Tribolium castaneum: one gene and its partners. The protein of the gene in region 2 purifies or fractionates together with the protein of the main gene of each other region. This does not show direct contact. Links are inferred from orthologs where the notes say so. Each region holds a gene or a part of one and is shown on either strand. Other genes may lie near its edges.

What was found.
Region 1: the proteins of Ada3 (region 2) and Atac2 purify together in Drosophila melanogaster (affinity purification with mass spectrometry; 4 studies listed by BioGRID). This does not show direct contact. The link is inferred for Tribolium castaneum from reciprocal best matches to the Drosophila melanogaster genes Ada3 and Atac2.
Region 3: the proteins of Ada3 (region 2) and Spt3 purify together in Drosophila melanogaster (affinity purification with western blotting; 3 studies listed by BioGRID, with this or other methods). This does not show direct contact. The link is inferred for Tribolium castaneum from reciprocal best matches to the Drosophila melanogaster genes Ada3 and Spt3.
Region 4: the proteins of Ada3 (region 2) and Mocs2B purify together in Drosophila melanogaster (affinity purification with mass spectrometry; 3 studies listed by BioGRID). This does not show direct contact. The link is inferred for Tribolium castaneum from reciprocal best matches to the Drosophila melanogaster genes Ada3 and Mocs2B.
Region 5: the proteins of Ada3 (region 2) and transcriptional adapter 2-alpha purify together in Drosophila melanogaster (affinity purification with mass spectrometry; 5 studies listed by BioGRID, with this or other methods). This does not show direct contact. The link is inferred for Tribolium castaneum from reciprocal best matches to the Drosophila melanogaster genes Ada3 and Ada2a.
Region 6: the proteins of Ada3 (region 2) and DNA polymerase epsilon subunit 3 purify together in Drosophila melanogaster (affinity purification with mass spectrometry; 3 studies listed by BioGRID). This does not show direct contact. The link is inferred for Tribolium castaneum from reciprocal best matches to the Drosophila melanogaster genes Ada3 and Chrac-14.

What each region holds. Positions count from the first base shown.
Region 1 is NC_087396.1:22,635,598-22,639,796, reverse strand, and holds Atac2 (cysteine-rich protein 2-binding protein), read right to left. Parts: upstream 2,801-4,199; 5' UTR 2,732-2,800; coding exon 2,511-2,731; intron 2,458-2,510; coding exon 2,320-2,457; intron 2,269-2,319; coding exon 2,117-2,268; intron 2,065-2,116; coding exon 1,883-2,064; intron 1,836-1,882; coding exon 1,768-1,835; intron 1,723-1,767; coding exon 1,535-1,722; intron 1,270-1,534; coding exon 976-1,269; exon of another isoform or gene 931-975; coding exon 749-930; exon of another isoform or gene 697-748; coding exon 526-696; 3' UTR 449-525; downstream 1-448. Other genes in the region: MrgBP (MRG/MORF4L-binding protein), read left to right, coding at 1-448; serine/threonine-protein phosphatase 2A regulatory subunit B'' subunit gamma, read right to left, coding at 2,848-4,115, 4,164-4,199.
Region 2 is NC_087401.1:17,517,297-17,520,882, forward strand, and holds Ada3 (transcriptional adapter 3), read left to right. Parts: upstream 1-1,284; 5' UTR 1,285-1,438; coding exon 1,439-1,616; intron 1,617-1,671; coding exon 1,672-2,060; intron 2,061-2,112; coding exon 2,113-2,282; intron 2,283-2,337; coding exon 2,338-2,441; intron 2,442-2,494; coding exon 2,495-2,778; intron 2,779-2,831; coding exon 2,832-3,011; 3' UTR 3,012-3,086; downstream 3,087-3,586. Other genes in the region: uncharacterized protein LOC103313297, read left to right, coding at 1-633, 687-896, 940-1,119; uncharacterized protein LOC656520, read right to left, coding at 3,550-3,586.
Region 3 is NC_087394.1:28,289,673-28,292,317, reverse strand, and holds Spt3 (transcription initiation protein SPT3 homolog), read right to left. Parts: upstream 1,448-2,645; 5' UTR 1,424-1,447; coding exon 530-1,423; 3' UTR 501-529; downstream 1-500. Other genes in the region: uncharacterized protein LOC103312536, read left to right, coding at 362-478; icln (methylosome subunit pICln), read left to right, coding at 1,662-1,780, 1,833-1,975, 2,025-2,368; Upf2 (regulator of nonsense transcripts 2), read right to left, coding at 2,615-2,645. UniProt on the Drosophila melanogaster protein: Component of the transcription regulatory complex SAGA, a multiprotein complex that activates transcription by remodeling chromatin and mediating histone acetylation and deubiquitination. The SAGA complex predominantly acetylates histone H3.
Region 4 is NC_087396.1:21,505,853-21,509,474, reverse strand, and holds Mocs2B (molybdopterin synthase catalytic subunit), read right to left. Parts: upstream 2,418-3,622; coding exon 2,173-2,417; intron 2,122-2,172; coding exon 1,940-2,121; intron 1,890-1,939; coding exon 1,632-1,889; intron 1,200-1,631; coding exon 982-1,199; intron 936-981; coding exon 825-935; 3' UTR 788-824; downstream 1-787. Other genes in the region: JNK1/MAPK8-associated membrane protein, read left to right, coding at 19-231, 281-450, 501-787; Mocs2A (molybdopterin synthase sulfur carrier subunit), read right to left, coding at 2,427-2,684; Wdr92 (dynein axonemal assembly factor 10), read left to right, coding at 3,213-3,496, 3,539-3,622. UniProt on the Drosophila melanogaster protein: Catalytic subunit of the molybdopterin synthase complex, a complex that catalyzes the conversion of precursor Z into molybdopterin.
Region 5 is NC_087398.1:11,844,522-11,848,779, forward strand, and holds the start of transcriptional adapter 2-alpha, read right to left. Parts: upstream 2,801-4,258; 5' UTR 2,720-2,800; coding exon 2,659-2,719; intron 2,616-2,658; coding exon 1,763-2,615; intron 1-1,762. Other genes in the region: rhodanese domain-containing protein CG4456, read left to right, coding at 3,072-3,074, 3,130-3,561. UniProt on the Drosophila melanogaster protein: Component of the histone acetyltransferase (HAT) complex ATAC; predominantly involved in acetylation of histone H4, including at Lys-6 (H4K5ac) and Lys-13 (H4K12ac).
Region 6 is NC_087394.1:1,508,981-1,511,232, forward strand, and holds DNA polymerase epsilon subunit 3, read right to left. Parts: upstream 1,018-2,252; 5' UTR 946-1,017; coding exon 675-945; intron 627-674; coding exon 517-626; 3' UTR 501-516; downstream 1-500. Other genes in the region: E3 ubiquitin-protein ligase LRSAM1, read left to right, coding at 1-213, 265-384; centrosome-associated protein 350-like, read left to right, coding at 1,367-2,252. UniProt on the Drosophila melanogaster protein: Accessory component of the DNA polymerase epsilon complex. Participates in DNA repair and in chromosomal DNA replication. Histone-like protein which promotes nucleosome sliding of ATP-dependent nucleosome remodeling complexes.

The DNA of each region.
Region 1 (4,199 bases), on a different chromosome or scaffold from region 2:
GTCGATTCCGTTCCCGAATAGTGAGAAAGAGTTCACACTTCCCGATTCCGACTTCGGTTCCCTCATTGTGAAGAAGGAAGAGGACAAGAAATTGGCGCAGAAAGGGCGCGAAACGCCCAAGTCGCTCAAGGAATTGCGAAAAGATGAAAAGACTCCTGTGAGGAGCAGTAAGGAGGTGCCAAGGCGTGATAGTAAAGACAGTAAGGACAAAACCCCAGTGAGTGCGAAAAAAGAAATCAAGAAAGAGGCTGAAAAGAGTAAAAGTAAAGGTAAGAGTAATAGTAGTACACCAAGGGAGGAAAACAAGGCAAAAGCGAAAAGTGACGACACACCAAAACTGACGAAGCGCCCTACTAGAGGCAGCTCTAAACCTGACGATTCCAGTTCGAGTGGTAAATCTAGTCCAATCACAGTCACACCACCAGTGACAAAAAGGCGACGCATTTAGTTTCTTTCTCACTTTATTAAAATTAATAAAAAGTGCCTCAATAAATTACGTAAAACACGATGCAACTCGGAGCAACATCACCTCTCAAGGCGGCAGAAAAACGCATGTTTCGATTCGCTTGTCTCGCGTAAATACTTATCATAAAAATTCAAAACGACTGCTTCCACCTTAAAACCGAACTTTTGGTACAAAAACAAGGCCGGGTTGTTGATGGACACGTGTAGTGTGATATCTTTGCCGAGACTTGTCTGAAATAATTAATTAACCAACTAGTTTAATAAAAATCGACTTTTCAATTACTTGGATTAAGTGATACAACATGAACTTTCCAATCCCGACGTTTCGCCATCCTGGCCGTGTAAAAATAAAAGAGACGTAATTTTCGGTGTATTTAACATTGGGGACGAGGAACGCAAACGCCACTATTAATTTTTTGTACAAAACTACGCAACTAAAATCCGGATATTGCAAACTTTCAGTTACTGCAACAAAAAATTAAATTGTGTTGTAACATTTCGGACACTTACGATCGATTCCTGGCCAAAAAAAGTTGTTGCAGAGACTGTTAATGGCAGGTATGTGCTCAGGTTGGACGTAGGTGTAGTCAATAGGGGCCCTTGGAGGTAGAACGTAATTTTGTGTTTTTTCGTTTGCTTTCATTTGTATCTCGGCCATTAGGCGTAGCCAGGATGGATAAGTTTCTGTATCTCTTCGTATGTAAGGTTTTAAATAAATGCTGCTGTAAGGTGAGAGAATTAGTTCTTTTCTGATACCACCCATCAACCTGACTCTCATTTCGCTTCCTTTCTGCCTAAACGCGTCTAAAATTATTTTTGGAGTAAATTCTTAAGCCCTGGGACTATGGGGGACCAAAATATTTGGTGGCATGACGAAAAATCGAGCAAATTTTAAGCGCAAAATAACCTTTTGGAATTGGTACTTGGGCAGATTTTTTTATTCAATTATGACCTTTCTTAACTTAACTTAATTTCTCAACTTTTTCAATAAATCAGAATCTTTACAATATTTACAAAAATCTCGTCTTGCCTCCTAGCTTTAGTCCTGCACACCTCTCACTTGACTTACTGCTAAAGCAAGTGTTGTAGTGACAAAACGGGTCGAGCAATTTCACAGACTCCTTATTTTGCTCACTTGGGGGCTTATTACGTGGCTGAGCTTCGCCCAAATTTCGCTCGTTTTGTTTGAGATAAGTTGGCGTTAATTCATCACCTAAGTTTGAAAAAACCGGCGAGTTTTTATTCATTTTTAAGAGTCTAGAATTGCATTGTTATGTTGTGACTTTGAACAGAAAAACTTACTTTTTGGACGTGCTCTCAAATGTTGGTAAAAGACTTTTTCTTTTATTTACGGTAAAGTTTTTAGTAATCTACAAACAATGGATGATTTGTAAGTTCAAAACGTAACAAATTGTACCTTTTTATTGGTTTCATCGTCTGGATTTTTTTCCGAAAAGTTGGGAACATCGACAGTGAATAAAGGCGTTAGCAAATCATCGTCTTTGATGTTTTTGTGTAAAATTTGTGTGAATAATTCAGTGTCTGAGACTGATATTTTTAAAATTTTCGTTTTTTGCTTCTCGTTCGTGAGAGCAGCATCTGGAATTATACTTTCACTCCTGATTTTTTAATTATTATTTCACTCAATTACATAAATTTGAAATTACGTTAGGGGTGAGTTTGGGGTAGGTGAGGGCCCACCAAGCCGGTTCATTAACGACCGAAGTCCCCGACTTGAAAAAATACGTACTGAAGTGCGATAAAGTCCCAGCAACGGTCCCAACCCATTTTTTTTTCTTTTTACTACAAAAACCAACAATTACAAATATGTGATAATCAAATGTTGGAACTTACAAATCCTTCAAAAACAGACTCTCCCAGTTTTTGTCGATTAGTGACGCTATGTGGTTCCTCCAATGGAAGTACCCCTTGCGCCCCAAACCCGGACTTCGTGACTGCAAATGATACAAAGCCAAAACTAATACTTTTAACCTAAAAGAACTCGTCCACGGAACGCCCTAAATACCTACTACATTTCTAATTACCAAGACATTTTCTCCCTAACAAACGACTCGGACCCGGCCTCCGAACATTCCTCACAAGTGAATGTGAAAAAAATATCGCCGTGAAGCCCCCCAGGCACACAACCACTTTTGAGACACCGCAAATGAACACTTTGCGAACATGAACTGCACGTTAGGCCTTCGTCGAGACAATCTTCCAATTTATTTGTGCAATATTTACAGATTTTGCAAGTTTCGCTCATTTTTGGATTGTAAACACAACCTCACTTCGAGATTATTGTCACGTGATTGACGTCCATAATGGCGGGTTTTTGAAAAAAATGGACGAAAATTATGTAAAATTGCATTTATTGTAACATCAGTCTTGGGAGGGCTCCGCCGTGACGGCCTCTCGATTCTCGTAGGCCCAAAAGCGGTGAAACTCGATTAAAATACTGACAAAAGTGTCCCCTTGCCCACAGGCGATTAAATCATTCAGGGTGATTTTTTCCGGATCTTTAGGCCTGACCATGTCAAACAGTTCGTCTTTAACGTCCTCAAAGGACACAGCTTCGGCCCCATGGGCCCTCATCTGCTCCTGAATCGCTCGGAAAAAATAATTTAAAGTGAAAGAGTCCAAGTAGCCTTGATTATTTATGTCTAAGATGCGGAACAAAAAAGCAAGAGCTTGTGGTTCGGCACGATTTTCCAAAGCTAGTACTAGATCTAGATAAGTTTTGTAGTCCATTTCACCGGAATAAGTCAAAAGCGTTTGAAAAACGCGGTCTAGAAAGGGCTGCGTTAAAGTCCCAGAGCCATAACCCGCAAGTTCAGATTTATTCAACATTCCGTTGTGATCACGGTCAAGATTTAGATAATGTCCGTAAATACGTAACGTTGAAGGGGCACTAAACCAATTTTGTTCCTGCACCTCTTTACTCAACTCCTCGTCCCTCAATTCGAGTAAATCATCAAGGAACGAACAAGCTAAAATGTCTAAAATCCGCACACGACCCGCACGCACTCCATCGAGGAAAAACAGAAATTTCCGAACGGCCGTACACACGTAAAAACTATAAAACGACTTTTCCAGTCCCTCAAGTTGCGGCAAAGTTGGCAACAACTCAGTGATATAATTCTCCAAGTCGATTTCAGTCAAGTAACCCTGTCCCGTACTATCATACAGCGATAACCCGATCCTGGTCTGCTGTAGCCACACTTTACGCATCACGTAGTTAAAAAGCGACATGATCGAGACTCTGCCCTGGGGGTCACCCTGTTGGAGCTTCGCAAACACGACCGAAGTGAAGTAGGGCTTGACTTTGGGCCCCACCAGCGTGACCACCTTCTGATAATCGGAGTACGTTATCAACTGTTCCTCGGGGTAGCTCTGGTTCTGGTCCAAAATCACCCACAGTTCCTTCAATTCGTTGTTATCCAACAAGTTTTGACTTTTACGTTTCAGTAAATTGGAGCGGCTCTCCTCGCGCAGTTTTTGCCTTAGGGGCTCATCTTCTTTCGGTAATTTATTGTAAAAACGCGGAATGCCCGTGGTTTCGTTCGGTGGTTTGTCACAATATTGCTTCATGTAGTGTTGGAAGTACTCGTCTTCTTGTTGCTCCAACTCGGGGGGCGACTTTTTCGCACCTGGCAAAATTACCAGTCGAAATTTTAACTAAATGAATTAATTTTTACCTCCACTTTTCGTTATTTTTTCCCGCAGTAGTGTTT
Region 2 (3,586 bases):
GAAGGTGGCTCTGCAATGATTCCTCTATCGACTTTTCTCGATTTGTATGAGTTTTTAGCACGAATTGATGCTTCGTTGCCACAAACTTTGAAAAATTACTATTTTTTGGATAAGTTTCTCGAATTGTTTCGCGAGAAAATTGCCAAAGATTCAGGGGAAAAACCGGTGGAAGAGGAACTCGAAACGGATTTTATGAGCGAGATTGTGTCCGAAGTGACGGAAAAAAGTGAAAGGGAGACGAAAAAAGACGATGAGGGTTCGGTTGTTTCGTGTCCAAGTGTCACAAGTCAGGATCCGGACAACTACATGAAATTGTTGATGAAAATACGAGCCGAAGGCGAATTTGAAGAAAGCAACGAAGAAATAAAGGAAGAAACAGAAGAAAAGACGGAACCTGTTGATGAAGAAGTGAAAGAAGAAGAAGTTGAAGAACGTAAAGAATCGGTCGCTGTTTCCGAAAAAAAATTTCCGGAACAGTTGGCTGAAGACGAAAAAATTCCGCAATTTCCGGTTGAAGATGACCTTGTTTCGAAAAGTACGCGAATGTCATCAGCACCGAGTGAATCATTGAAGAAAGATGAAGAGGATTTGAAACAAGACACTTATCTTATGGAAGATTTGGCAAGACTTCGGGTAATTCACCGACTAGTCTACTAGGTTTTTCCCCGAAATAAATTCGGGTTTAGTCATTACAGGAAGCCATGATGGGTGAAAGTGACGACGAAGTTGAGAAATTCAAAGCTAGTATTTTAGCTGAAGCTGGTTTAACTCAATCACAAATTGATGCACCTGAACATTTTGAAACACGAATTGAGAGTGAAATTTTCACTAATGAGTCACTTAAAAGTTACGAAACGTCGACAAGTGAACCGTCCGTCAAGGAAAAAGCGCCAGAAGTAGAAAAAAAAAGTGGGAAATTTTTTTTTATAATTGTTTTAGATTGAGTATGAGGATGTGTTCGTGGATCCAGTTCCAGGAATCGGGCCGAAAGTCCCCGAAAATTTAATTTTGGCCGTTTGTAATTACATGAAAGATGTGGCCAAGTGGCAACATGACATGGTTATGCCGAGGAATATACGGCATTTTGATCGCCCGCCTTTAGAAATTCGAAATCAATAAAAATTTTGCACCGTTTTTTTTTTGATACATGGTACTGCCCAAATCTTAATCATATTTAATCACGTTTCAGTGCGTCCAGTAATCAATTAATAATTATTTGTGCCTCCAGGTGTATCTACTTGATTAGTAAATAAAGCCCTACGTTTCGGAAACACGTATTAAATTTTCCCCCTTTATGTTCGATTTAGTTTACAGTTTCCTGTAATTCAAGTGTCAATTTTTATGTATCGATTGTCAACAAACAACAAAATTGTGTGAAATTGGCTAAAATAACATTGATGATTAACATTTTGCATGTTCTTTGTGCCTAAAGCGTGATATGAACAACCCCAAACGCCACCTCATGTCAAAAAACGCCCCCCGAGGGGGCAAAGCGAAAGACGCCCCCTCGTCCTCCCGTCACGACTCCATCCCTCCTGACACCGAAAACTTCATAAACACCGTCCCTTTGATCCGTCAATGCGACAACACGAAGCTTTTGCCCCGTTTTTCATCCAGTAATCAACCCTAACCTAACGTTTTGCCCCTTTTGATTAATGAGCAAGTTTTTAGTTTTGGGGCGCACCGAAGACGATGGAGTGAACATGGACGACCTTGATCAACTTCAACTCGACCTTGAGAAGTTAATTTCGACGTGTGCTGTGCGTAACCGGTTTTTAAGGGGCGAAATCGAATCGATTGATCGAGTTGAGGAAAAAAGAGACAAAAAGGGCAAATCGTATGATAAAGGGGGGCTCAAACGGAAACGGCCCGATGATAAGGCCAAGTATCGTGATTTGAAAGGGGGCGCACGCCCCCTGAAACGTCATTATCCACTTCCGGTGGATGTGCCCTTGAGGCATGAAATGCCCAAAATTAATTTACCCAAGAATGATACTTCGGATAAGTTTTGGGCGACTGTGGAGCCCTATTGCGCCCCCGTTACGAATTCACACGCTACGGTTGATTGATTTTTTCAATTTTATAATTATGTATTAACAAAAAAAATTTTAGTTCCTCGATAAATTAATCGAGGAATGTTCGCAAGAAATTGATGTAAAAATACCCGATTTGGGCGAATATTACGCCAATGAGTGGTCAGATAATGCAACCGGAGTGGAACAAGAATTGGGGCTAACCTCTAAAACAGTTGGCCTTGATTTGAAAAAGAACGGTTTGAGTGCGTAAGTATTTTTTATCAAGTCATAAAGTTCAAAAAAATTTACAATCAATCAATAGAATGGTTGATTCATTTTCAAACCCGAAAACTCAACGCCTATTGGCCGCCTTGATTGAGGAGAAAGTGATGACGTCATTTCCGGGTGTTACTGGGAAACTCAAACGTAATAAAATCACATTTGTCGTAACTTCAAACTCATTTAATTCACTTTTAAAGCGTCCGATTTGAATATAATCAAGTCAGCTGGTGGTCCACGTGCTGCCATATGTATGGATCGCCGCCTTAAGAAAGATTTAGTCGAACAAGGATTATTAAGTGTTGAGGATTTATCTAAAACAATGCCCGACGATGAGATTTTACAAGAAATAAAAAAATGTCAACAAGAATTGACAGCTGTCAATGAGTATAATGTTGAGGAATTGAAACGTTTGAAAGCTATAGTTGTCAAAGATTTGAAACGGCAAGAAATCAAAGCAGCTCTGGATGTAGTAGATGGCGAAGTTTGTTGATTGGTGTTACCATGGTAACAAAATTAAAACACCTAAAATTTCAGGTTTTGGAAGTTTATAATAAGGTGTTAATGACCAAACAGAAGCAAATCCAGCAGGCCAAGGATGAAGATTTCGATAAAGCCGCCTTTACAAAAAGTTTGAAAGAATTTGAAGTGAAGACACATGTCTTGTTGGAAACGCAGTTTAAGTTTCAGAAAGCTTTGGCGGAATTGCAGGAATAAAAAAAACACCAGTTTTAAGTCTTACATTATTATTATTATTATTTTTGACACATTAATTTACAAATTAGTCTGGTATTTGGTGTTTAGAGTTGTTTTCTTTTTCCTCAATTGTCTAATTAACACTCCTAATTAAATAATTGAAAAACACCGATAAATCAATTTGTACTTGGGAGAGATATTCATCAAAAAATGCTTTTTTCGTTTCGTTTGGTTGGTAAAAAATCACTCTTTTGAATATTCAAATTGGCACCACTGGTGGTATATGAAACGAATGAGTCAATAGTGCCAACCTGACAATCACAATTGTGCGATGAGATGAACTTAACCTATAAAAAAAGTATATTGCGAACATGAATACTACCAACGGCTAAAATTGATTTTCCCTAAATATTTATATAAAAAACAAATCGTAATAAATATGACGCAACAGAACAACAACAAAAAAAATATATCGCTTAATCCTACAAAATTATCACATTTACATTCTATACAAATGATTATCATCATGGATTTTTTTGTCCTGAAATTTTGATTACTATTACATTGTGTCAACATACAAATTCAATACGCGATGT
Region 3 (2,645 bases), on a different chromosome or scaffold from region 2:
GTTGGGAACCTGATAATGTCTCCCTATTTAAACATTTTTTAAATTACGTACAAAAAAGTACAAATGACGATAAAACACACCAAAGTTAAGTAATTTAAATTATATGTTAAAATAAATGCCTTACACAATTTAACCATAGGCAAAAACATCTGATAAACATTAAAGAATTTTGAAGAAAGTATTAAAATTTATTTATTTTAAAAATACATAAACACATTAAAATATTGCACGGTTAGCAGTGACTTTAGCTCTAAGATTAGTTTCGAAAAAGCACAATTAATAAAAACATTAGCACAACAATCCAAATTATAAAAAATAAGTGAGAGGCTAACTTGACTGACCCCAATACCTTTGTTTTCAGAGTTTGGCGAGAGAAATTATAACATCGGTTGCTTCAATATCATCTTGCATAATCTCTATTTTTTTCGTAAAAAATTTGTCGAGAATGGATTCGCTGCACATAAATTTTGCAGCGTAATATTTGGATAAATAAAAGACCGTTTAAAAAATTAAACTTTATTAGAACAAATTACAGAGCAAATAGATAATGCGTGTCTGGTAGTTTTCCCCCGAAATTCAGCTTCCCTGCTTGCGGACAGTGAATTCTTCTCATAACTTCTTTAATTTCATTGACACTAATGGGGGGCTGTCCACTGTAAACCCTGCTATAGTCTGGATTGTTACCACTAGCCCCTATCCTATAATCCCCATTAAACATCGTAGAAGTGTAGTAATTGCCGTATAAATGATTCAGTGGATCACTCCCACATTTGCCCTCCATCCTCACAAGCAACGCATAATCGGTTATCTCAGCAACTGTCTGGTACCCCAAATACGACAAAACCACCATAGCATTAGTGCTGAAATTAATTTCCTTTTTCGGGTCAATCCACTGTCTTAATTTTTCGGAGTTTCGGGCCGTGATATCTCTACTGCAAAACGAGGTGGCTCTCGCTTTGCAAAACTCCAAATACCTCTTCTCGTCCAGGGCTTGAGATATGCGATCAGCCCTCAGCATCCTCGACTGTTTGACTTCATCAACTTCGGATAAATCGGTGAATTCTCCCGTCTCGTCTATGTACTCGATAAACTTCATTAGCTCGTTCTTCGGTATGGGATCTCTGTCAATTTCAATGACCCCCGAGTTCAACGACTGGAGTTGCTGTTTGAGTTGCTTGTTTTTCAAATATTGGAAAAAGCGGCGCATTTTGTGCTTATTGTGCCGCATTAGGAACACCAACTCCTTGCCTTTGAGGTTCTTACCATCGGAGTACTTCAGCGCTTCCTGGACGATCATGCGGAGCTGCTTCAACACGATGCTCTCCACCAAACGCACCGTCTCGGGGTTCGGCTTGTGGCTGTCGCCGAACCCAAACATCATCAGCGAGATTTCGTTACAAAAGGTTGTTTTTTGGGAATCCATCAGTTTTTGTCAACAAACACCTAACCTCAATTGACAACAAATATTTTCCCCACAGAATAACAGGTTTTTTTCCCCAATCAAACACAGCCGGTTCAAAATACCAGCCCGTGATTGGTCCTTAGCTCACAACGCCGCCAAAAGAAAATAAAAATCCCCAAGTTAAACGTCAAGCGCCATAGTTTGTGGTTACAATAATTTTGAAAAATAAACACGTTTTGCGAAAAAAAGTGGAGGAAGAATGGTTGTGGTCACGTCGTTTAAACCACCAGAATCTCCTATAAGACTCGAGCAGTCAAACGTTGTGGTGATTTTGGATAAACGTGATCTGGGCACCGGAACCCTATTTGTGAGCGAAAGGTAACACAATTATGGCAAAACCAAACGAAAAATACATTGTGTTAAATTACAGGACACTCAGTTGGCAAAAAGACGGGACTACGGGTTTTTCAATTGAATATTACAACGTCTCGCTCCATGCGGTGTCCAAAGACCCCAACGTGTGCGAGAGGGAGTGTATTTATATTTTGACTGACCCCCACATAAATTTGTTTGGTTTGTAATTTTTTGCGCAAAATTTGGTTTATTGTGCGTCGTTTTGTAGGAGAAACTGACCAAAGGCCCGCAAATGATGACAGTGACGTTGAGTCAGAGCCAGACCTCTCGGAGCTGATTTTAGCCCCCGAAAACCCCACACATGTACAAAGTATTTACGAGGCTATAAAAATTTGCCAAGAACTCAATCCCGATCCTGCCGATGTTGACGACGAGGACGATGATAATTTATTCGCGGACGCAGAAGAAGAAATGTTTATAGAAGCAGAGTCTGAGCAGATTGGGGACGCAGTTGTCGACAGTTTGGCCGAAAGGCTACAAAACAACTCAGTCGACGTCCAGTACAGCTACCGGAATGGCAACGAGGATGAGGATTTTGAAGATGCAGACTGATCCCTGAATTATGTTAGGTTTTGTATCTTTAATTTTAATCCATTTTTTATAAAACACTGACTAGTGAAAAGGTTTTATTCCAACAGAAAACAATGTTGAACGAAACAAAAAATGAAATTCCTTGCTTCTCCTTCACAATTCTCAATTCCGATAGACTAAAAACGAAACAATCTATCTATTTCTGAAACATTCTGAACTTCTTTGACCCTTAATCGTATTCAACCATTTCATCCTGAATTCCTCCCATTATCTAACTCTCTTAGGTCCAAAAATCAGG
Region 4 (3,622 bases), on a different chromosome or scaffold from region 2:
CTTCACTGTTCGTTGTAGCTTCAAAAAAGACGTCCTAATTTTACACTTGACTGCGCTGGTGGAAGTGGTCATTTCGGGGCTCTTGTCGGTGCTTTTCACGCACCCGTTCGGCGAGTTCCAGGTGCGGAACTGCAGAGTGCGCAGCTTGGCCGATTGGTACACTTTGTTGCATAATCCGGCCCCGGATTATGAGAAGAGGGTGCATTGTACCCAGGAGGCTGTGTATCCCTTGTAGGGCTACTAATTGATTATACTACTTTATTGAGTGTTTTTGTTTTAGGTATACGCTAGTTTTTATTTTTTATGCCCTGACTTTGATTGTTATGCTTTTGATAAGGCCATGGGTTTGCCGGAAATACCTTCCAAGGCAGAGCAAAATGTCGATTTATGCCGCCATGTACTATATACCGATTTTGGTGGTGGTCCATGCCCTAATTGGGGGACTTCTTTGTACGTAATGATTGCGCCAAAAATCACACTTTTGATTGGTTTTGTTCCAGATTATGCGTTCCCAATTTTGGTCGTTATTTTGTCAGTTATTTCGTGTGCTTATCACTTTGCCCTCAAAATCAACCAATCGATTCCCTCACTCATCATAACAACAGTTGTAGACCCGAGAAATGTGGTAATCTTAGTGGGCCATTGGTGTTTACACGCCTATGGTTTAATTTCAATAACTCAGCTTAGTGACCCGACTTTTCACTCATTGTTGCTACTGTTGGTCCCACTGCCGGCTTTTTTTTACATTTTCACGGCCAGGTTTACCGACCCGACAATATTTACGTAATTTATTTTTTAATAATAATAATAAACTAAAAACAGATTTATTTTTTCTCCTCCTGAACCTTCCGCTCCAAATCGCTAATTAGCGAATCGATTTCCTCAACTGAGAAAACCTTCTTCTTCACAAATCTATTGTTTAAGTGGCTTTTGTCCTAAAAATTTCACTAAAAAGGGAGGGAAATCTCTCAAAAAGCTTACCCAAAAATTGATATATTCGGGCGAAATCGTTTCAAGGAACAATATCCGGTCTTCTAGTTTCTTCAAACGGGTGTAGATATTTTTCGGGGTTGGGGTGGTCAAACTGAGTTGGATTTCCAGGTTTTGGAGGCGCTCCTCAATGCCGTTTTGGGGGATGTATTTGGTCAGGTAGTCCGAATTTGTTTGGTCGCGGTGGTAAGTGTTCAAAACCCGACTTACTGCAAAAAAATTAGTCTGAAATACTTGTTTTTCGAAAATCGTCCGAAAAGTAGCACTTTTCCCCGACATTTTTTGCTAAATTTATAGAGGGTTAGTCTGTTAAAAATATATTTCTCGTGTTGACCGTGCAGTTTCTTTGCTCTTTTTTTTCAGTCAATTTTTACTCGGCGCCATGGCCTCCTTGATGTATTATTTTTAACGAAGTTGTCTGCATACATCAAGGAGGTCATGCTCGGCACATTTGTGTCCTGTCCGTAAAGTCTTAATTTTTTCGTTAATTTTTTTATTTTCAGATAAAAATGTGTTCTCTAAACATTAATGAAAAATGTCTGGTGCCAAATAGAATAACCCTGTGCAGTTGTATACTTTTAGCAGACTTGTAAAAATTGGAATAAAAATCGTAAAATTGTGATTTTTTAAGGGCCACGAACCTTGCAAATGGCCATTGGAGTCTTTGCGTTTTTGCAAAACCGCATCGACTCGGGCGCAAGTGAACTCTGAACTTCGATTACTTGTGCAAAACTCTCTCACATTGCTTATGTTGATTTCGTTTCGCTTCATCTCCATAAAATTCTCGATTCGTTTGCTCAAGTCCGCGTTTGAGGCCTTGATTTGAATCAAATGGGGCGAAACGTTGGGAATTTCGACTTTGGGCTCGATTTCGAGCTTGAATTTTTTCGGTTTGGGGGCTATAAATGAGAGCCAATCAATTTTAGACTTTATTTACTTGACCACCCACATTCTTTATTTTCCTTCCACTGTGGAGGAGTTTCAGTTTCAGCGTAAATCTCCTTTTTCCAAATAGGCACACTCTCTTTAACCTTGTTGATGCACCAGTCGGTGGCTTGCAGCGCCTCGGTACGGTGGGGGGACGCGATTGCAATTACAATGCTAGCCTCCTTGACCCCCACAACCCCCAGTCTGTTAAACAAAAAAAAATCAAAATTTGGCCCCAATTTAAATTTTTCAAACCTGTGATAGATTGCGATATTTTCGACTTGAGGCCACTTGGCCCTGATCTCCCCGCACACTTTTTCGAGACACTTCAAAGCCATGGCTTCGTACGCCTCGTACTCCAATTTAAGGACGGTTTTTTCCCCGAAACTGTCTCTGGTGGTCCCCATAAAAACCGAGACTGCGCCACATTTCGGCGAGGCGACTAGATCAGTCAACGCCTCAACACTTAGCTTGTCTTCGGTGAATTTCAAAAAATTCATTTTGGGGCCCTAACCGCCACTCAGAGGTGGGATTATTGCTACTTCGTCGCCCTGTTTTAACACAATTTCGACACTTTCCACGTCGCAAAACTCCTCATTGAGGGAGAGAATAATGTTTTGGGCAATTTCGGCCAAAAAATACGTGCCGACGAGTGTTTCTAAAAGCTTTTTGTAGGAGATGGGGGACGGCAGGTCAAGTTCGGCGGATTTTTGGCCCACGATTTCTCTCGATTTAGCGAAAAACAACACTTTGACGGTCACTAACATATCATAGTGTTGTTGCGCTTACATAATCACCGAATTGAAGCAAAATAATTACTTTTATCACTACTCTGTTTATATTTGAAACGACATATTTAGAGCGCAAGTTGTCAAATTTTTAACCTCACTTTCTTACGAATAAAATGCAATTAAAAATCTTTTTTTCGAATGCTTTGGAAGCTGTTTCCTTTTTTCCTGACAAGAATGCTCTAAACCTAATTTGCTGGACAAATTAGTTAATAATTTGACTAATTAGAGCAATCCTTAAATGTATTGCTAATTGTTTTTTTACAGCCGTAAAAAAAGGTCCCAATGGCTGTTTGTCCGAACATGATTTTTTACAGTCGAAGGCCCTAACGAAGGGCTTAATTTCCTGCAAAAATAAAGAACATTGCAGGATATAACGGGGGTGAAAAAAAAAAACAAAATAATTAAAAACGTAACGAGAACAGCTTGTTTTATTTAAACTTGGGCAATTATTGCCCCCGAAAATGCGCTTTGCTATGACAACAATTGTTTGATCAATCAAACGTTATGGAGTCGCTCCAAAGGCCCCAAATAATCTGCCACGTGCAGCAAGCCCTGAACTACACCGTCCACGACGTCAAGTGGATCCCCTGTTCCGCGAAATTCGTCTCAATCGGGGGCAAATCAAACGGGGCTGGAATTATCGAGACCTACTCAATCAGTGGTGATGGGATCGAAAAAGTGGCCGAATTCGGCAAGAAAGACCACTTTAAATGCGGCACGTTTCACGCCTCGAGTTTAAGAGACCGCCACCTTGCGACTGGCGACTTCAGCGGGCGGTTACAAGTCTGGTAAGTCGTCCAAAAGTTGGCCAAAATTTTTAAGTCTCGTAGGGATTTGGAGGAGAATTTAATCCCGATTTATAAGACGGAGAAGCACCGCGGGGTCATTAACGCCATTGATGGAGTTGCGGGGGT
Region 5 (4,258 bases), on a different chromosome or scaffold from region 2:
GAGAACTGGATCGAATGTAGCACTATTTGCTATGTCTCATGTTTAACCAAGGTTTTCAACCAGATAAAAGAATATTTATTTTGCGAGCTTTGCAAAAATTTCTCAAAAAATTGCCGAAATATGTGTAAAGTAACTTCGTTTTTGCAAGATTTTGTTAGAACGAAATACCAATAATATCACAAAACTAAGTCAAACGTTTTTCTTGTTCGTCAGGCTACAGCTATTTGAAGAATTTTGTCTGTCAAAAATTCTTCAAAGCCTTTTAGTTCGTTTTTAGCTAAAAATTCTCTTTCATATATTTTTATTAACCTTACAATTACACCAAAAATTGTGTTAATGTTGTCGTTTTCGTATCTTTGGGCATGTTTTAAAATAAAAAAAATTGCAAAAACTAACTGAAAATCCACAAATTAAATCGAAATTGTTGTTGTTTACTTTGGATTGGTAAATTTACTACTTATTTAGTTTGGATAATCTTGCCAAAACACGTCTAAAATATTACAACATAATTAGAAAATTCTTATTTTGTGATATTTCGCCAAAAAACATTACTTTGCAATTTCACGTGTTTTAGCATTTTTTTTTAAATTGTGTTTAAAAATGACATAAAAGCATAAACCAGGAGGAGATAACACAAAAGTCGATCGTTTTTCTTGGCCAAAAAATGAGGAGTTTTGTCAATCAATCAAAAAAAGATGTTACTCAAAAAAATCACAAAATTAAGTCAAAACTTTTGCTTTTGCAAGCCGAAGATTTTTAAAGACCAAAATTAATGCTATGTTGCAGCTTTTTGTGAGCCTTTATACATGTTTTAAGGTAAAAATTAAAGTGTTTAAAAATTCTCTAGCTAGAAATTCACAGAATTAAATCTAAATTGGGGTTATTTTAGTTTACTTTGCTCAATTAAGTTCCTTTTTTGAACGAGAAATTTAATTTAATTACTCTGCCTTTTTCGAAAGTTTAGCATTTCTTCAAAAAACGTAATCACCAAATTGTTATTATTATATTATATTTTTAATTATATTTAATATAATAAAATATAAATAATAATAACAATTATATATTATATAAATAAATAAAATAATTAAATATATATGTAATTATATTCTTAACTATCATATTTTAAAGCTCGTTTTTTTAAGGTAAAACGCAATTTTTACTGAAATTTTGCTAAACTTGCTTAAAAAATCTGCTCGAAGATGACAATATTTTACTATTTATGAGATTTATTACCACGTTCATCCATAAAAACACATTTATTTCGCAACATTTGCTCAAAAAGAAGCCAAAAAAATTGCGATTAGAACGAAATTAGCATTATATTTGCTTTTTCGAGTGTTGAAGCGCCGATTTGTTTGAAAAAAATGTTAATTCTGCATTTAGCGAGTGATATAACTTTTTTCGCGAGATTTTTTTAAACCAAAACGGTTCCATTGTAAATAGCTATTTGTGCAACGAGATAGAAAAAGTGAATTCTTTCTGGAAAAAACTTACGAGTTGAACACAATGTTTTGTAAAATTCCGTGAATATTGAAGAGTTTGAGAATTTTTCATCGAATTTTACAAGTGTTTTTTTTTCCAAAATACAAATTGTATTATTTTTCGTCACGCCACTAACTGTTGAAGTATGTTTTAACATTTTTCTTTGTTTTTATTAATCTTTAGTGAACATTTTTTTCTCCGTCGTGTTTTTTTGGAACTCAATAAGCCGCTATTATGGAAAATAACCAACTTTATATTAATTCAACCGTTTGATATGAACCTAAGAATTTGTATTTTGAGTTCGCCGCTGTGGTGTAACCCCTCCATCAACATTTCGAACTGGACAGGAGTACAAAATTGCATAAATCGGATCAGTTTTTCATACACAGGACGTGTAATCGTAACGTCATACCGATGAAGCCAAGCGTAAACTTTCCGCAGAATAATCAATCCGTGTTCTCTTATGATTTTTTTCCACCTTTGGCGCTCCCTCAACCGCCGGTTATAACTCTGAATGATCGCACATTGAAGATTTGTGATCAAGTCAAAATGAGGATCGTCCTTATCAACCGGTTTAAGGTTCGAGAGCAGATCCTCAGCCGACGAATCGAACTCGCATTCGAAATCGGACCTCGCGGGGTTATAACCGGCCAAAGACTTGTACCCCACTGTGTTGGGGGAGTAGCGAGGGGGCTCATCGGTGTCGCTAATCCGCTGTCTGTAGGGCACCACCGGCTCACAAAACCAGTCCCTTTTGCTCGCCTCGGGCAAGTCTTTGGACCCCTTTCTGTCTAAATAAAACCAATCGTAGTGCGCCCTAATCTCCCTCACACTCCGATTTGGGAACTCTTTCGCCACTAAATTCCAGTTCCCGTATTTTTGTAACGACTCTAACAACACCACCTCCTCCCGAGCCGTCCAGTCCGTGTTACCCCAAACCGGAAAATCGTCGCGGATTATGTGATAATCGTGATCGTTCTTGTGCCCCCCAAACTCCGCACCTTTCGAAAAACACAGCGAACAAATATTCACTTTACACAAAGCGCAATAAATGTAAGGCGCGACCAAATCGCACGAACAATTCGAACAAACACTATCAGAGTCACTAGAGTAAAACGCAGGGGGGCCACAGTCTGAAACCTCAGTTGAGAACGAGAAGTAAACAAGGGGGCTCACCTTTGGGAAACTGCAAGTCAGCGGCGTCTTCTTCGGTTAAGTCGGTGTTTGCGTTTGCCATTTTTTCGAAAACTGTTTGGATACCACAAAAACTTAGGTTATGTGCATAGGTTATGTGAGCGGCAAGCGCTGCCTACCTGGCAAAATTTAAAGCACTAGCACTTTACTAGTGCGGTGTTTTTTGACGATTATTTATGAAATTATTATGTAATTCGAACGCAATCGGCATAAAACGTGAAAAAAAAAATAATTGGGGAAAATTTGATTGTAGCCACGGGACCTCTAATTTGTTTTGTGTGAATTGTGTGATACCAACGGTGACTGTAAAAAGTCTCCAAACTGATTTTTGCCAAAACTGTCGTAATTTAATAAAACAGGCGATAAAAAATAGTAAAAATCGCTTTATTGGCGCTATGGTAGTTCACTTTACAAAAACTAATCAATTAAGTTAATTACATAATTATTTTTTAGGTTAGGTTACCAATGTCGCTATCAAGGGGGCCCCAAATCCTCTCCCTTGTGAACAAAACGCCCGTCTTTCTTAGACTTTTCGCAACGCAAATCGCCTCATTTGATGAAGTCAAGTCAGTAAAAACGACTCCTAAGACTCTTCTAATCGATGTCAGGGAGCCCCACGAATTGCAGGAAACCGGAGTTATTCCTGACAGCATCAATATTCCACTTGGCGAAGTCGAGAAAGTGTTAAAAGACATGCCTTCTGAACAATTTCAAAAAACTTACAAAAAGGCTAAACCTGATTCTAGCACCCCCTTAATTTTTTCGTGTCGTTCGGGGAAACGTAGTGCCCTTGCGTCCGAGATTGCGACGAAGTTGGGGTTCAAAGATATAAAGAATTATTCCGGGGGGTGGCTAGAGTGGGAGGAAAAAAGTAAAAATATTTGAGTTGTAAATAAATAATACGTTATATGAGTGTAGGGGTTGTAGTTTGATTTGGATTTAGGTAGTGCCGTATTTACTTATTTACTGCGGCACAAAAGTGATAAACATGGAATGTTAAAAAATAAGTCAAAAAGAGTTTGCAATCTACAAATCTCGTCAAAAATTTTTTGAATGATAACACCTTTTGAAAGGCCTGATCACCATAAGTCAAAAATACTCACAAAAGCAAAACCAAATAATAATTTTGCATGTGTTTTGCCCTGAAGTGGATATTAGATACGATTTCTTCATTTGTTGATGTTAGGAGCATCCAGCGCCAATGTGGACACAAACACTTATTGCAAAAAAACATCAGCGCCGTTTTGAAAACAACATTTACCTACTCCATGACCCCCTTCCGTACTTTTAATAACGTGGGACAGTTTCCTCGAACTTTTCGTCTTCTTTGTTGGATTTTTTAAATGTTAATTGTCAAATTGAAAAAGTGCGCGCGCATGCGCTTTGATTTTTAACATGTCATTCAAGAATTCACTGGTTGAATCTTTTTGATTAATATAAAAGCGTTTCAATTCAATATTTCTTATTTATTTCCTCTCATTGTCCCAATTTTTGTGCCCAACATTACCTAGGGGGGTAGAATTCAGAGAAAAACTGAAGATGTGAGATGCAACAAAAACAAAGACAGACTCATTAATCATCA
Region 6 (2,252 bases), on a different chromosome or scaffold from region 2:
AAAATCACAGAAAGCGACCTCAAAGAAGTGGGAATTGTGAATAAATCGGACCGGGTCCACATTTTAGACGCATTCCAAATGTACCGAAAGGAGCAAATACCGACCGATACGGCCCCCTCAGCTCCAGTGCTGCCAATCGAAGAGGCAAGTGCGCCACCACTCGAAAATGTCGCAAATTTGGGGACTGAATGCGTCATTTGTTTGGACTCAACTGTATGTTGTTTATCTCAAATTAAGGCGAATTTTGGTGTTTTTTTTTTGCAGTGTGAGGTGATTTTCGTGCCATGTGGACACTTCTGTTGCTGTTCCCAGTGTCCTGTGACCTTGAACGACTGTCCAATGTGCAGGACTTCAATCGAACGCAAAATTAGAATAATTTCATAGTTCGTTCAACTGCCGTCACTTTTTTTGCTCAGTGTTGCTAAAGTGTGAATTCTGCACGATTTGTGGCCTTAATCTAGTCAGTTGTTACTTTTTCTCATGAATAAAAAACTATCACAAAAAATTTATTTTTTATTACGATTCTCCCGTTTCTTCCTCTTCCACGGCCTCCTCGTCGTTGTCTTCCGCCATTTCAACGTCGGCCCCCTTCTTCACTTTCTTCTTCTGCTTCGCTTCTTTGAAATCTGAAGTCGGTTTTTGAAACGTGAACATAACCTCAAAAAAAAACTAACCTCTCAGCATCACACTTAAGGGCTCCACGAATTCGTCAAACTCGAGCTCTTCTAACGCTGTTAGAATGTCTTGACCCAGAAGAGTCTTTCTGTTCACTTTTTGCGCCTCTTTGGTGGCTTGTGAGGTTATGTACAGGACAAAAATTGAAGCGGCCCTTGACAGGGCCGAACGGGCGTCTTTACCAACACTGACGTGTTCAGGCAATGCGTCTTTAATTATCTTTTGCACCGTCATGTTCGGCAAATTCAAATCTTCCAGTTTTTCGGCCATTTGGTCACAAAATTCACAAAATTACTTTTCCCACCAAAAACAAAAAACGCGCATGCGCAATGCCAACCGCCATGTTTGAATTTTGATTAAAAAATCATTAATTTGTTTATTATTGGTCACCTAATAATTATAAATTTGTGTTTTTTGTTTAATTAAGCTTGGGGGGCTCGTGACGAATGGGGTGGTTTATTTTAGGGGCTGTTTTTTGCAGTTTTGGTGGGGGGCCTTGAACTATTCACCCTTGTTGGCCTTGGTTATTGAGGTTATGTTATAAACGGTTGACGTTTTGAAAATATGTGAAAAAGGTGAGTTAATTTTGCATTTTCTCACCTAAATTAACACAAATGTGGGTCAATTCGTGAATTGTACGTCAGTCTAATCAATTTCCAGTCGTAATTCGCTAAAAAAAGGGGGTTCAGAAATGTCCATAAGCCAAGTGGAAAATGTCAGCACTCGTGTAAAAAACACAAAAAAAGAGATCGAACAGCTCAAAACCGAGCTAGAGAAGCTCATAAGTCTTGGGACCCAGCCCCCTGAGCCCCCCACCCACAAGCCAGCCCCTGATACCCAAACCGTTAAAAAAAAGGCGCCCCCCGATCCCGAGAAAAAGCCCCGCAGTTATGACGTCACCGAGGCGCGTAACTACATCAAAAAACAGCGGGAAAAACGCGCCGAACAATTGCGGGCCCAAATCAACACCACTGACAATAAACTCGATCTGAAAAAGCAAAAACTGAAAGAATTACACCAGAAAACACTCGAGCTGGTGACAAAAAACGTGCAGTTGAAGCGCGAACGCTCGAAATCGCGGGACAAGGGCGAGCCCCCTGTCCGGATCGACCGCTCGAAGGCGCGGGAGAAAGGGGGCCCCCTTGTCCGAACCAACCGCCCGAAGTCACAGGACAAGGGGGGCCCCCCGAAAATCGACCGCTCGAAGTCGCCCGCACAAAAAGTTTCTGAGGGCTCCGAAAAGACGCAAAAAAGCGAGAGAATTTCGAGGGCCAAGGCCCGGGAGCCCCAGAAATTGGCGAAAACGTCGTCTGAGGCGAAAGAGACGCAAACGTGCGACAAGGGGGCGCCCTGGCTGGAGCCCCCTTGTGCGGCGTATCCGTACAATTTTATAAACACAGTTAAGAGAAAATTGCAGTTTGCTGTGAATTCGCCCCGGAATTTTATCGACATTGGGGTGCAGAATTCCGGGACTCCGCCCCTGGAAACAAAATCGAGGGAAGAAATTAAAGAACTGTTGATTAAAAGTGCCAAAAGTGAGTTGAGATCGTTTGTTTCGCACAAATGTCTCGACTTGA